2 linked regions of the Sus scrofa genome follow. The protein of the gene in region 2 interacts with the protein of the main gene of each other region in a biochemical or structural test. Links are inferred from orthologs where the notes say so. Each region holds a gene or a part of one and is shown on either strand. Other genes may lie near its edges.

Region 1 (6,133 bases), on a different chromosome or scaffold from region 2:
GCAGCCGGGGGGGGCCTCACCAGAGGTACAGTGTACGTGTAGTGGGTGACAGAGCCAGTGGACACGGGGGCTTGCTGGCGGAGTGTCCTCACCTCGTCCTGGGCCTCAATCAGCATGCCCCCACACTCTGAGTACTTCTCCCGAAGGTCCTGCAGCTGGGAACCGGCCCACAAGCTCTGCCCACTCTCTCCCCGGGGACTGGGGAGCCTGGGCCAAGAGGCAAGAGGCCCAGGCTCCAGACCCACCTAATGACACACAGGGGGACCCCACTCCACTCAGACTCTGATGAACTGCCACCTTCCAGGCCCTGTGCCAGAGACTGAGGGTACAGAAAGGACAGACCCCGTCGCTGCTGCAAAGAGCTTGTCCTCTCAGGAGTCAGGCGGCAGCCCAAGGGTCCCAGGTTCCCCGCCCCCGCCGGACTCTGAGCTGGGAACTCAGGGGAAGGCTCACCTCGTCCTGGAGCTGCATCTGGATTTCTTTCTCGGAAGCCAGCTGCTGCTGCAACTTCTCAGTCTCCACCCCATACTGGAAGGACCAAGACCAGTGAACCCCCACCCAGGCCTCCCACTCCCGGGCCCCGCCCCCCACTTCTGGCACGTCTCCCAGTGAGTCTTTGGCAGCTCTTTTTTTGGTTTAGGGCTGCACCTGCGGCATATGGAGGTTCCCAGGCTAGGGGTCGAACCAGAGCTACCGCTGCTGGCCTATGCCATGGCCACAGCAATGCAGGATCCGAGCCACATCTGCAACCTACACCACAGCTCACAGCAACACTGGATCCTGAATCCACTGAGCGAGGCCAGGGATTGAACCCATCTCCTCATGGATACTAGTCGGGTTCGTTACCACTGAGCCATGACGGGAACTCCTCTCTGGCCGCTCTTTAAAAAAAGAAGTCCCGCGGAATAAAGCCAAAGAAGGTGAGGGAGTCATGTGACCTGGTTCCTGGACCATCCCGTGTCCCTCTTTGGGCTCGGTCCCTGACTTGGGACGAGGGGACAGGACAAGGAGCTCTCTGAGGTCTCCTCCAACTCTGACACTGACCCAGAGAGGGGCCTTGGGCCTCTGAGCTGAGAGCGCCATGGGGTGGGGGCAGGGGGAAGGGGGCATGGCCCTGGCAAGAGGAGGGAGCCCCACACAAGCCCCAACGCACCGACCGGCAGCACTGCTGCAGCTTCACCACCTGGGCCCGCAGCTGGGCGACCTCCCTCTGCTGCTGCTCAAAGTTCTCCATCCGGAGCGCCAGCACCTCCGACAGCTCGGCCATCTGCTGGCTGGCCTCCGCTGGGGGGGAGGGCGGAGGTCAGCCCTGGCCCCCCAGGCCCTCAGCCTCCCAGACACCTCCATCGCCAGTGCCCCTCAGCTCCTGCCGAGTACCCAAGGTTCCGCAGAGCTTAGCATCCCTCACTCGAGTCTTCCTTCTTTTTCTTTTCTTTTTTTTTTTTTTTTTTTTTTTTGTCTTTTGTCTTTTTAGGGCCACACGCTCAGCATACGGATGCTCCCAGGCTGGGGTCAAATCAGAGCTACAGCTGCCGGCCTACACCACAGCCATACCCGATCCAAGCCATGTCGGCAACCTACAGATCCTTCACCCACCGAGCAAGGCCAGGGATCAAACTCGCATCCTCATGGATACTAGTCGGGTTCATTAACCACTGAGCCATGACGGGAACTCTGGGTCTTCAGTTTCAGTACACATTTCTGACTGACATAGGGTAAGCGAGTCAGCAAGACCAGCCCCAGCCCTCACTGAGCTCCAGACTCATGAGGAGACTCAGGGAAAAAGAATCACAGTCGTGCATATCACGGGCTGGGATGCAGCATGGCTAACGGGTGCAGCGGGGGCATTGATGCAGCAGCCAGGCTAGCCTGGCACAATCTGAGAAGCTAAGACTGCCACAGGGCAAATGGGGCTCACCAGGCAGAAGGGAAGGCAGGGTGTGGAGAGACCCAGAGGCAATTATGGGACATCAGGAGAGGGTGGCGGGGCAGTAGACAGGTTAGGGAGGCTGGGGCTTATTATGTGGACAGTGGGAAGTTTTTGAGGTGTTTAGGCAGGGGAGTGACATAAACAGATTTTTTTTTTTAGGGCCGCACTCGCAGCTTATGGAAGTTCCCAAGCTAGGGATTAAATTGGAGCTACAGCCACCGACCTACACCATAGCCGCAGCAACACCAGATCCAAGCCGAGTCTGCAAGCTACACCACAGCTCACAGCAAGGCCGGATCCCCAACCCACTGAGCAAGGCCAGAGATGAAACCCACATTCTCACGCATACTAGTTGGATTTCTTTCTGCTGCACCACGATGGGAATTCCCTGTTGTTTTTTTAAGACCCCACCTGAGGCATATGGAAGTTTCCAGGCTAAGGGTTGACTTTTTTTTTTTTTTTTTTTTTTTTTTTTGCTATTTCTTTGGGCCGCTCCTGCGGCATATGGAGGTTCCCAGGCTAGGGGTCGAATCCGAGCTGTAGCCACTGGCCTACGCCAGAGCCACAGCAACGCGGTATCCGAGCCTCGTCTGCAAACTACACCACAGCTCACGGCAACGCCGGATCGTTAACCCACTGAGCAAGGGCAGGGACCGAACCCGCAACCTCATGGTTCCTAGTCGGATTCGTTAACCACTGCGCCACGACGGGAACTCCTCCAGGCTAAGGGTTGAATCACAAGCTGCACCTGCAGGCCTATGCCACAGCCACAGCAACACTGAATCCGAACTCCATCCATGACCTACACTGCAGCTTGTGGTAACACCAGATCCTTAACCCACTGATCGAGGCAAGGGATGGAACCTGCATCCTCATGGACACTATGTCAGGTTCTTAACCCCACAGTGGGAACTCCCAGATCTGGTTTTACAAAATCCCTTTGGGCTGTGTGCAGAGGGCCTGGAATGGCAGGAGTGGAGGCAGAGAGAGCAGTTAAGAGGAGGCCTGGGCTAGAGGCAGCTGGGGTGGGCAAGAGGACAGAGACGTGAGCCTATCCTAGGAGGTAGAAGCAACAGAACGTGGGGACTCGCTCCGACTCCAGGGGCCTGGGACCAGGATTGGGGGGAGAGGGGCATTCAAGCAACCAGGGGCAGGGAAGGCAGATTTGGGGTGAGGGGAACAGCATGGGTTCAAGTGTTGCCATCTTGAGTCTGCATCTCCCCAGCTAGACCCCAGCTCCTCGGAGACAAATGCTGTGCCTCACTCATCTTCTTAAATTCCAGGCACAGCCTCTGTCTACTGTGTGACTCTGAACTGTCCCAGGCCCAGTGCCCAGGGTGCCTGGTCTCTAGCAGCCCCTCCCTCTCCCCAAAGAACAAAAGGAGATGGGCTTAGTGGAGCCCCCATGCATCTGTACAAAGCACTTCCTCAGCTGCCCCCCTGGAGAGGTCAGCAGGGCCAAGATCATTCATCCCCTTTCTAAAGATGAAGGTTCAGAAAGGTCAAGGAAATTGGCCAAGGTCACACAGCTAGGGAGTGCCAGAGCTGTGCCTTGAATTCCAAGTCTCCAGACTCATCCTGGGCTCTTCCCTCCATTCCCCAGGACAGCCCCCTATGCCAAGTTACAAGTTCACCTACAAAACTGCTCCACGCAGTCCAGAATGAGCATCTGCTCCTCCTCCTCAAGGTCGTCGAGCTGGGAGGCCTGGAGGGAGCGAGAGAGGAAGTGGCAGGGGAGTCAACACCCCGTGCTCACCAGCGCGCCCTCTTTCCCCATCCTCACCTCCTCTCGCAGCTGCTCGTTCTCCTCCTCCAGCAGCCTCAGCTGCTCCTGCAGGGCTTCCAGCTGCGGGCAGCAGTGCAACTCTGACTCTGCCAGAGGGGTCCTAGAGGAGGGAGCCATGGGAGTCAGGGTGCAAGGGCATGGGGCACCCAGTTCGCAGCCCACCCAGGGCTGCCTGCGGTGGTCGGGTACAAGGTGTCTCCATGGTGAACAAGAAAACCGGGGCTCAGAGAAGGGGTACCCAGATGCACCAGCAGGTCACGCACAGCTCCGAAGCTTTGTAGGAATGATCTCACCTCTGCTCTTCTTCTTCCTCCCCATCTTCCTCCTCCTCTTCTTCCTCTTCTTCTTCCTCCTCCTCTTCACCTTCCTCCTCCTCCTCCTCCTCCTCATCAGAATCCGAGTAAAGCTGGAGAAGGTCATCCCGCAGGCTCACCTGGTGCCTGAGATGTAAAATCTGGCCAGAGGAAGAAGAGCCTGGGGTCGGGGTGCAGACAGGGGCAGGCACAGATCCTGGCACAGTGAGATGGAGGCAGGCCTGAGATACGCCCCCTCCTGGTTCCTCCCCCCGGCGCCCTGGTACCTCCTCCCTGGCCGAGCCCAGCATGGCTTCCAGCTTGCTGTTCTCCTCCGTCAGAACACTGTTCTGTTTCACCAGGGACCGGCCAATGCGAGCTGCAGTGTTCAGGTCCCGTTCTCTCTGCAGAGGGACCCCCATCCATGGGGAAAACCTTCCTGGTTTCTGGGATCTCCCAGACAGGCGAGAGAGGCTAAGGAGTCCTCCGGGGTTAGAGGGGAGCTAGGCAACTAGGGGAAACCCTCTCTGGCCCCTGGTTCTCCAGGGTACTGGACCAGAGCCTGCGATGAACCCGCTGTAGGACCTGATTCAGTTTCCCTCGTGGGAAAAGATGGTCCCAAGCGCTCTTCCAGCCTGGACATCTCACATCTCCCTGTCTTGCCTAAGTGGGACCCCCAGCTTGGCCCTCAGGGAGGTATGGAAGCAGACAGACTCCTCCCTACCCGCCAAGATGGGATTAAAACAGGAGCCTGGGTAAGGCTCTGCCCTGGTCCCGGGTTGAGAAGGGAGCACACACCTCCTCTAGCAAATTCATCATCACTTTGACATCTTCTTGGGTGATCTTCTTGACTGGCAGGGGCTGGTCGGGACACAGTGCTGCAAGAGAAACGGGTCAGAAAACAGGGGGCATACGCCACCCCACAGTACTGTCTCCTGCCCTCAACAGCAAAGATCAGCAATGAGGGAGAAGACCCCTTTCTGCCCCCAATATCCTCTCCACGCCCCCAGTACTCAATACTCCCTTCCCTGCTTCCAGGGCCTTTTTTTTTTTTTTTTTTTTTTCTCGTGGAAGAGGCTGGATGAGGTAGGGAGATTACAGTTCTACAGTCCCTGGAACCTAGGAGAATGGAGGCAGCTAGCGGAAGTACAGCGCCTACTGACTCATCACCCCTAACCCAGAAGGCAGCCCTAGCCAGCTCACTGGAGCCTCATGGGTCATCAAAAACTGGCACAGTCACCCATCCGCACTTGTTGCGTGTAGTGAGGAGGAGACTTCTCCAGCACTGGAGTGGGGGACACCTGAGCCTCTAGACCCAACCCAGAGATCTCCAGCGACCCAAGAGAGGGTGGGAGGGCAGAGGAGAGGCAGCATCTGTCTGAGGCTCCGCCCACCTCTCGACCCCTACGATTGGTCGAGGTGGAAGCGCGATCTTGACCCCGGCAGCCAAGAGGTTGGCAAATACCCCCTCTGCCCACCCACCTCCCGTTCGCTGGCGCGGCAGACAAGCGCAGGCTCAGGGCGCACCGGGCAGCGCCCTCCCGCAGCCCCCCGCCCCTCTCCTGGCACTGCGGTAGCCCGGGAAGGGGGCCACTGAGAGTGCGCAGAACTACCACAGCAACAGGCGCGAAGAGGTGGGAGGGGAGCGTTCGAGTCCCGGGACCCAACCCACAGACAGGAAATCAGGGAACGAGAGAAGGGGAGAGGAGAAGAGGAAGAGGCGACCGGAGAGGCACCGCAGAATGTGACATCTCCAGGGTGGCTGGAGAGGTGGGACTGAGCACCAGAGGGGATGGGGCGCCTGGACCGGAAGAGGCCCCCCTCCTCCCTGCTGCTGTCCCACCCGCTCTGAGGACCCGGGGACCCTAGTTTACCTTCCTCTAACTCTCGAATAAAGGCGGTGCGCTCGGGGCCAGACACCTCAGGCCGCCGGCTGATGCAGGCAGCTGGCGTCTTCCAGATGCCCGCCGCCTTTCCAGTCCCCAAGCCACTGGCTTGGGAACCAAAAGGTCCTCGGAATATAAAGCGAGTCCACGGCACGTCCGAGTTGTCGAGCACGGACTGTGCATTCCCCTGGTCGACGGAGAATGCAGACGTGCGCTGGGCTCCTGCCTTGGATCCAGA
Region 2 (6,133 bases):
CGGCAAAGCGCCAGCTCAACCGCACACTGCGAGGGCATTCCAATCCCGTTCTCGCGAGCACGAGACAAGCAATGAGAAGTGACCGCGACCCAAGAGAACCCATCTTCTTCGAGGGCGTGAAAAGGTGACCTCCTCTGCGCCTGCACTGTGGTTGAAATCGGGTCCTGTCCTTTCTGGACTGGGGTAACGGCGCAAACCTAAGCGGTGCGTGGCATCGGCAGGTCACGCGACCACAGAACACCTCAAAGGCGGACGCCTGGAGGGAGAGGGCCCCCAGCACCCCGTCGCTCGCCCCTACCGGGTTCATCAGGAAGGCGCCCATGTCGCCGGGTGGGATCCGGCTCACCAGCTCCGCCCCTTCCAGCAGCGCGGAGTCTGAGCGAGTCCAGCACTGGGATTTCACCAGACGGAGGTACCAGTCCTGGGGACGAGACAAGGTGTGTTACGGAACGGAACTGGGCAGGGCTTTCCGGGGGTTTTGAGTCCACTGGACACGTGCTGCTTCTTCGCCTGTGGCCCAGACCCGAGGACACATGGGACTCCGGCCATGCTGACGGCCACACAGGCCTTTGCCACCAGAACTGCTACCAAGGCTGGGTCTTTGGACTTGTTACTCGTCCGGACACCCTCTCCTCCCCTCGCCTGATGGGGGAATGCTCAACTCGCCTTTAAACTCAGCAAAGCACCGAGGGGAGCGGGCCCTCCTCTCTGTCCTGCCCTATCGGGCAGCAGGCTGCCCATCTTCTCCTGGGGCCGCTTTGTTCCTCATCCCCAGGCCAGTGCAGCAAAGGTGCTGAATTCATCAGGCCTGAGAAGAGCAGCCAGAGGTGGCTCATCTACGCCGGGAACTGCTGGGTTTTGGGATCCAAGTTCTCTCAGTTGACTGCTCCCCGGGAAAGTAGAGCGCCAAGGTCCCACCAGGGCCCCAGGGGGCCCCCAGCCCCGCGGTGTGGATGGTGAGGGTAACAGTAAGAACCAGGGCCTCGGGGTGGGGTCAGCACAGGGAGGTCGGCAGGAGAGGAGACAGGCAAGTGGGCGCAGGCCACAGCTGCCCCTCCTGCGTGTCCACTGACTGCCCTGACCCTCAGCCCCTGCTAACAACGAGGGCCGGACCTCACGGATCCTGTCACTGATGTGACTGTGCCCATCGCCAGCAAGAAACGGGGCAGGCTGAGCGCCGCAGGGGCTGCGCGGCGCCGGGACCTCCTGCTGCCAGAGCCGCCCGCCGCAGGCTCGGGCTTTGCCGCAGGCAGACAGAGGTGCTCAGCGCCCCGAGGGGCCTGTGTGTCGCAGGTGGACAGGCCGCACTTACTTTGTCAGGACTCACTGTCTCCAGTGCCAGGGGCCCGTCCCCGTCCAGCGGGTGGGACGAGACCCGAGGAGCGGGACCACGCGAGCCTGGGGCGGTGGCGAGACGCAGCCTGTCCAGCAGGGAGGAGAGCCTTTGGTGTCTGGAAGCCAATCACACGTGGGTTAGAGAAGCGTCGCGGCGGCTTCTTACGGCCCAACGTGACACGTCTGAAACTTTCTGTTCAGACCTATTTCTCATTGGCACGCAAACAAGTCATGATGCCAATTCCGGCCCCAGTTTACTTGTAAAAGCCACAGCTGTGTCCCATAAATAGTCTCAGGAATTTCAATTCAACACTGCAGCAGCTCGTACCTGGCATAACAGCCAGTAAAAGTGACTTAATGCTTGATCAACACAAAGGAGACCATCTAGGAGCCGAGGACACAAAACTTCCCGCTTCATCTCCCAACAGTGTGGTTTACGCCAATTTCCATTTATTCCATAAAAGCATCACCTCGCCTGGCACATACTACTTTAATCTTCCTCCTCTGGGCTGAATGCCGAGTCCAGGGTCAAAAATAAGAACAGTCTGGCCGCCCGCCATCCGGTATGAGAACGGCAGCCTCACAGTACCAATCTCAACAGAGCTCGCCCAGCGTGCCCACAGGTCCCGGGAAACCACGCACTGCCCACCGCGTCCCGGCCCTTCTCAACTGAAGAAGCCAACACGGGCTACTGTGAAGATGGAGTCACAGCATAAAAACTGGACTCACACACACGTTTTCCCCACTGTCGAGGAAAAGAAGGTAAAAACTAAACTTCTGTTGCCTTCAGGGAAATACACTCGTGTAATGCATGTCAGGACCTCTGACAAAGGCCTCTACGAGACTTTGCAAACAAAGTCCGGTGATAAATAGCGATGACGAGGTAAGATTTTAAAAAGAGGCCGCTATAACTCCTGCACGCCGAGCACTGGGGAACCAACGCCTTTCAGCTCTGCCACGTCTTACTTAGTGATCAGATCACAGGCTCTGAGTTTGCTAAAATAAAGCTGAAAACTCCCACTCATCATGGACAGTGAACAGAGACCACGAGAAGACCCCTCACGCTCAAAGAGCCCAGGGTGCGAGCATGGCTGTGCCAACGCCACGGAGGTGACCCTACCAGCTCTTCTTCACTTTCTGTGCAGGGAGATCCAAGCCTGTCACTTGGGAAGGCTCCCTGGGGCCCTTCTGCAGGAGCCGGTCCACACGGCACACGGCTCTCTCGTCCTATGGCTGCTCCCTCACAAGTGACAGGCTCTCATCCCAAAGCAGGCAGCACCTGGGCCCAGCATTACCTCTGAGCTAAGCCGCTGCTCTGAAGGTATTCCTGGATTCGGGTCAGTTCCTCCACGGGCAACTGGGCCATGCTGCTCTAAAGTAGACAGGAACACGTCAGAGGGTCTGCCGTGCAGAGGCGAGCCCGTACCCTGTGCCCCTTCACGAGACAAAGGGCGCGCACGCGCGGGCGGACCAGGAGGCCAGGAAGCGCTGGCCCCTGACACACGGGGAGTGGCCGGTCCTTCCACTGCCCTCAGGGGACGCGTGAAGACCGAGCTGCGGAGGAGAACCAGACAGCTGCTCCCCTCGCCCAGCTACGTTTCAATGCAAATCAATGCCCCTGTTTTCTCAGTACCTGTAAGTTTGCGGCCAAAAGCATTTCCACCCGGCGGCAAGCCAGGGTGTCGACCATGCGGGCCAGCACCCGGAACGGCGTGCGCAGAAGCTTGTCCACGTACAGCGTCAGCACGGCACCCGACTGGCTCAGGTGGATCCCTTCCAGGCACTGCAGGGTTTTCTTCAGCGTGGTAGGCTGGGGTTTGAGAGAAGAAACGACAAGAGCTGGGTGACCTGTCGGCTGGAAACGAGCGGGTTAAAGACGCCAACCCTCGGCTTTCAAGGCGCAGGACCGCCGGCAGCAGGGAGACTTACGGCGGAGAGGTTCTCACAGCGGGACTGGATGGCCTGGATGAAAAGGCCGCTGGCTGCGGCGTTGCGGTGCACGGCGCTGATGAAGTCCTGCACCGGCGGCTCGTGCGACAGGTGGATGAGATCCTGAATGTGGTTCACGATGAGCCAGGTCAAGTGCTCCGAGTCATGCAGGTTCTGGCACTGAGGACACGGACAGCAAGGAAAGACACTTTCCAGCAGACGAGGAGGGGACAGGGCAAAGGCCGAAGTGGTGGGAGGGCAAAACAAATCCCAGGCGGTGGCCCTCCCGGCAAATACCTAGCGGTTGTGCTCCGACAACCCACAAGGTGGAAGCAGACCTCACAGGGCCCCCACCCCAACCGCGCTCTGCAGCCGAGGTGGCTCAGTCGGGCCCCTGGGAAGTGTGACCCTGCGGCACAGCAACAGGGACAGGGGCTCACGTCAGATTTGTAAGGAGCTGAGAAACACAGACTTAAAATTACACAGGTTGCCTTTTCATCACAACACATAACCCTAGGCAGAAACTGGAAAATGAGACCAATTTTCTGGTTAATGATCAACCCTTTCCATATGGGATAACTGGATAGGATTAACTTTTGTAAAGTCAATACTTTCTTGCTTTTCTGTGGAAACAGCATTATTTAATTACATCAAATTGTTTCTCAAAAGTGGAATGAGACCAGAAAACCATGTCCCCATCAAGCATGTAAAGCGAAATGTTGAGTATCAATAAACTGCTATCAGAGCAACAAGATCTTTGTCCCAACAAGCAGCTCAGGCGACGTGTACTGCTTGGACGCGCTGCGGCGTGACAGCGGCGAACCCAGCCCCGTGTCTGCACCAAGGGGTGGCAGCGTCCCCGGCAGTCTGGAGAAAGCACTGAGTCCCCCCCACAGGGTAAATGGTGGGCTGGCTCTCTCTGAGTAACACAATTAGATTCCACCTCTTGTGGACTTAGTGGGTTTACACTTTCTGTGTTAAACAAGAGATGCTGGTTTTATGGTCAAAAGCTCCGCAAAAGGTTTTATTTTTTTAAAAAAAAAGAATGGCATTTGAGGAGTTCCCGTCGTGGCACAGTGGTTAACGAATCCGACTAGGAACCATGAGGTTGCAGGTTCGATCCCTGGCCTCACTCAGTGGGTTAAGGATCCGGTGTTGCCGTGAGCTGTGGTGTAGGTTGCAGACGAGGCTTGGATCCCATGTTGCTGTGGCTCTGGCGTAGGCCCGTGGCTACAGCTCCAATTTGACCCCTAGCCTGGGAACCTCCATATGCCACGGGAGCGGCCCAAGAAATGGCAAAAAGACCAAAAAAAAAGAATGGCATTTGAATAGGAATCTATTTTAAAACACAATTAACATCAAATACCTTTTCCACAGACTTTTAAATCAGAACCCCACTCAGCCAAACGTGTGGCTTCTTTGTGTTATTACTGTTATGCTACTGCTTCCCTGAGACAGCAAGCGTGCCCAGCACCTGGCAGGACGCGGGCAATCACTGGACAGCCGCCTGAAGTTTCTGCGGACAGGCCTCGACCCCCAGCATGCACACCCCGCCTGGCTTCTGCTTCTGCATCAGAGCAGGAGTCGGCTTTAACTGCAGTTTCCCCTTCTGAAGGAGGGGACGGTGCAGGTCAGTCTCTAGAAGCATCATCTACATGGGCCGCGGCCCAGCCCTCAAGCCGCCACCACTCACACTTTCAAACTTACGACGTAATCACAGAAGAGAATCAGGGCCCCTCTTCGTACGATTTCTCTACTGCACATTCCCAGTCTGGAAGCCGCGTCGGAGTCCTCGTCTTCTCCAGACATCTGGGGACCAAGCGACTTGGTGCTGGACAGACTGCGTCTTCTAGAAGGAGCAAGGGAAGCTCTGAAAGCATTCCTGAGACGGCAGCTGGCTTCTTTTCAAACCCTGGAGATGGTTACTGCTCAGGCCCAGTTCCAAAGCAGACACTTTAAATACCGCCCACGAGAACGAGTGCGGGCACCATACACTCGCAGGTATCTAGTTCTGAGCCACGATAAAGCGCACATGGAAACAGGGGATTTAGGAGTTCCCATCATGGCACAGCGGAAACAAATCCAGCTAGGAACCATGAGGGTGCGGGTTCAATCCCTGGCCTCACTCAGGGGGTTGAGGATCCAGTGCTGCTGTGAGCTGTGGTGCAGGTCACAGACGAGGCTCAGATCCCACGTTGCTGTGGCTGTGGTGTAGGCCAGTAGCTGTAACTCCAATTGGATCCCTAGCCTGGGAACCTCCATATGTGGCCCTAAAAAGAAAAAAGACAAAAAAAAAAAAGAAAAGAAAGACAGACACAGAGGATTTAACAGGCAGAAGACTGAAATGCTTGACTGAAAGGCAAAATCCACCATAAAGCCGCACATTCAACCGGCACTCTCACTGGAGAGCTCTCACTGGCTGTGTCTGACGGCACGGCTGTGGCTTCTGGAATTCCCAGCTTCAGCTGGCCCTGAAAGCTGTCAAGGGCCACGAGAAAACCTCTGTACTTCGGTAATTTACGCTTCAATCACCAACGAATAGTTACAACCCTAAACACACCCAAGCGACTGCGAAAATGGCAACCCTGTTTAAAAGCATTTCTGCAAAATGACCCCCAGTGAAGGCCGTCCCTCCCTCTTTGCTTCTTCTCACCCTGCCCTTCTTCCTCCTAAGGAGATGGGAACTGCAGGCCCTGAGACTCTCAGTTCCAGCCATGATGCTTAAGACACAGCAGTTGACAGACAAAGAGCCCCTCTGACGGGAGGGTGAATGCGACAATACACTCCCCTTGGCAGCACAGAGCCTGCACCTCCACCAAGGCTTAGTGGAGTCCGACATGATGCCGGGACAGAAATACCCTGAAATGCG

Evidence for each region. The genes of interacting proteins can lie anywhere in the genome.
Region 1: the proteins of HTT (region 2) and HAP1 form a complex in vitro, tested with the Homo sapiens proteins (4 studies listed by BioGRID). The link is inferred for Sus scrofa from reciprocal best matches to the Homo sapiens genes HTT and HAP1.

What each region holds. Positions count from the first base shown.
Region 1 is NC_010454.4:20,939,790-20,945,922, reverse strand, and holds part of HAP1 (huntingtin-associated protein 1), read right to left. Parts: coding exon 5,884-6,133; intron 5,498-5,883; exon of another isoform or gene 5,384-5,497; coding exon of another isoform or gene 5,260-5,383; intron 4,888-5,259; coding exon 4,808-4,887; intron 4,414-4,807; coding exon 4,297-4,413; intron 4,171-4,296; coding exon 4,010-4,170; intron 3,817-4,009; coding exon 3,714-3,816; intron 3,636-3,713; coding exon 3,569-3,635; intron 1,285-3,568; coding exon 1,154-1,284; intron 529-1,153; coding exon 454-528; intron 156-453; coding exon 21-155; intron 1-20. UniProt on the Homo sapiens protein: Originally identified as neuronal protein that specifically associates with HTT/huntingtin and the binding is enhanced by an expanded polyglutamine repeat within HTT possibly affecting HAP1 interaction properties.
Region 2 is NC_010450.4:1,902,183-1,908,315, reverse strand, and holds part of HTT (huntingtin), read right to left. Parts: intron 5,114-6,133; coding exon 4,972-5,113; intron 3,445-4,971; coding exon 3,265-3,444; intron 3,146-3,264; coding exon 2,969-3,145; intron 2,708-2,968; coding exon 2,631-2,707; intron 1,452-2,630; coding exon 1,313-1,451; intron 422-1,312; coding exon 299-421; intron 1-298.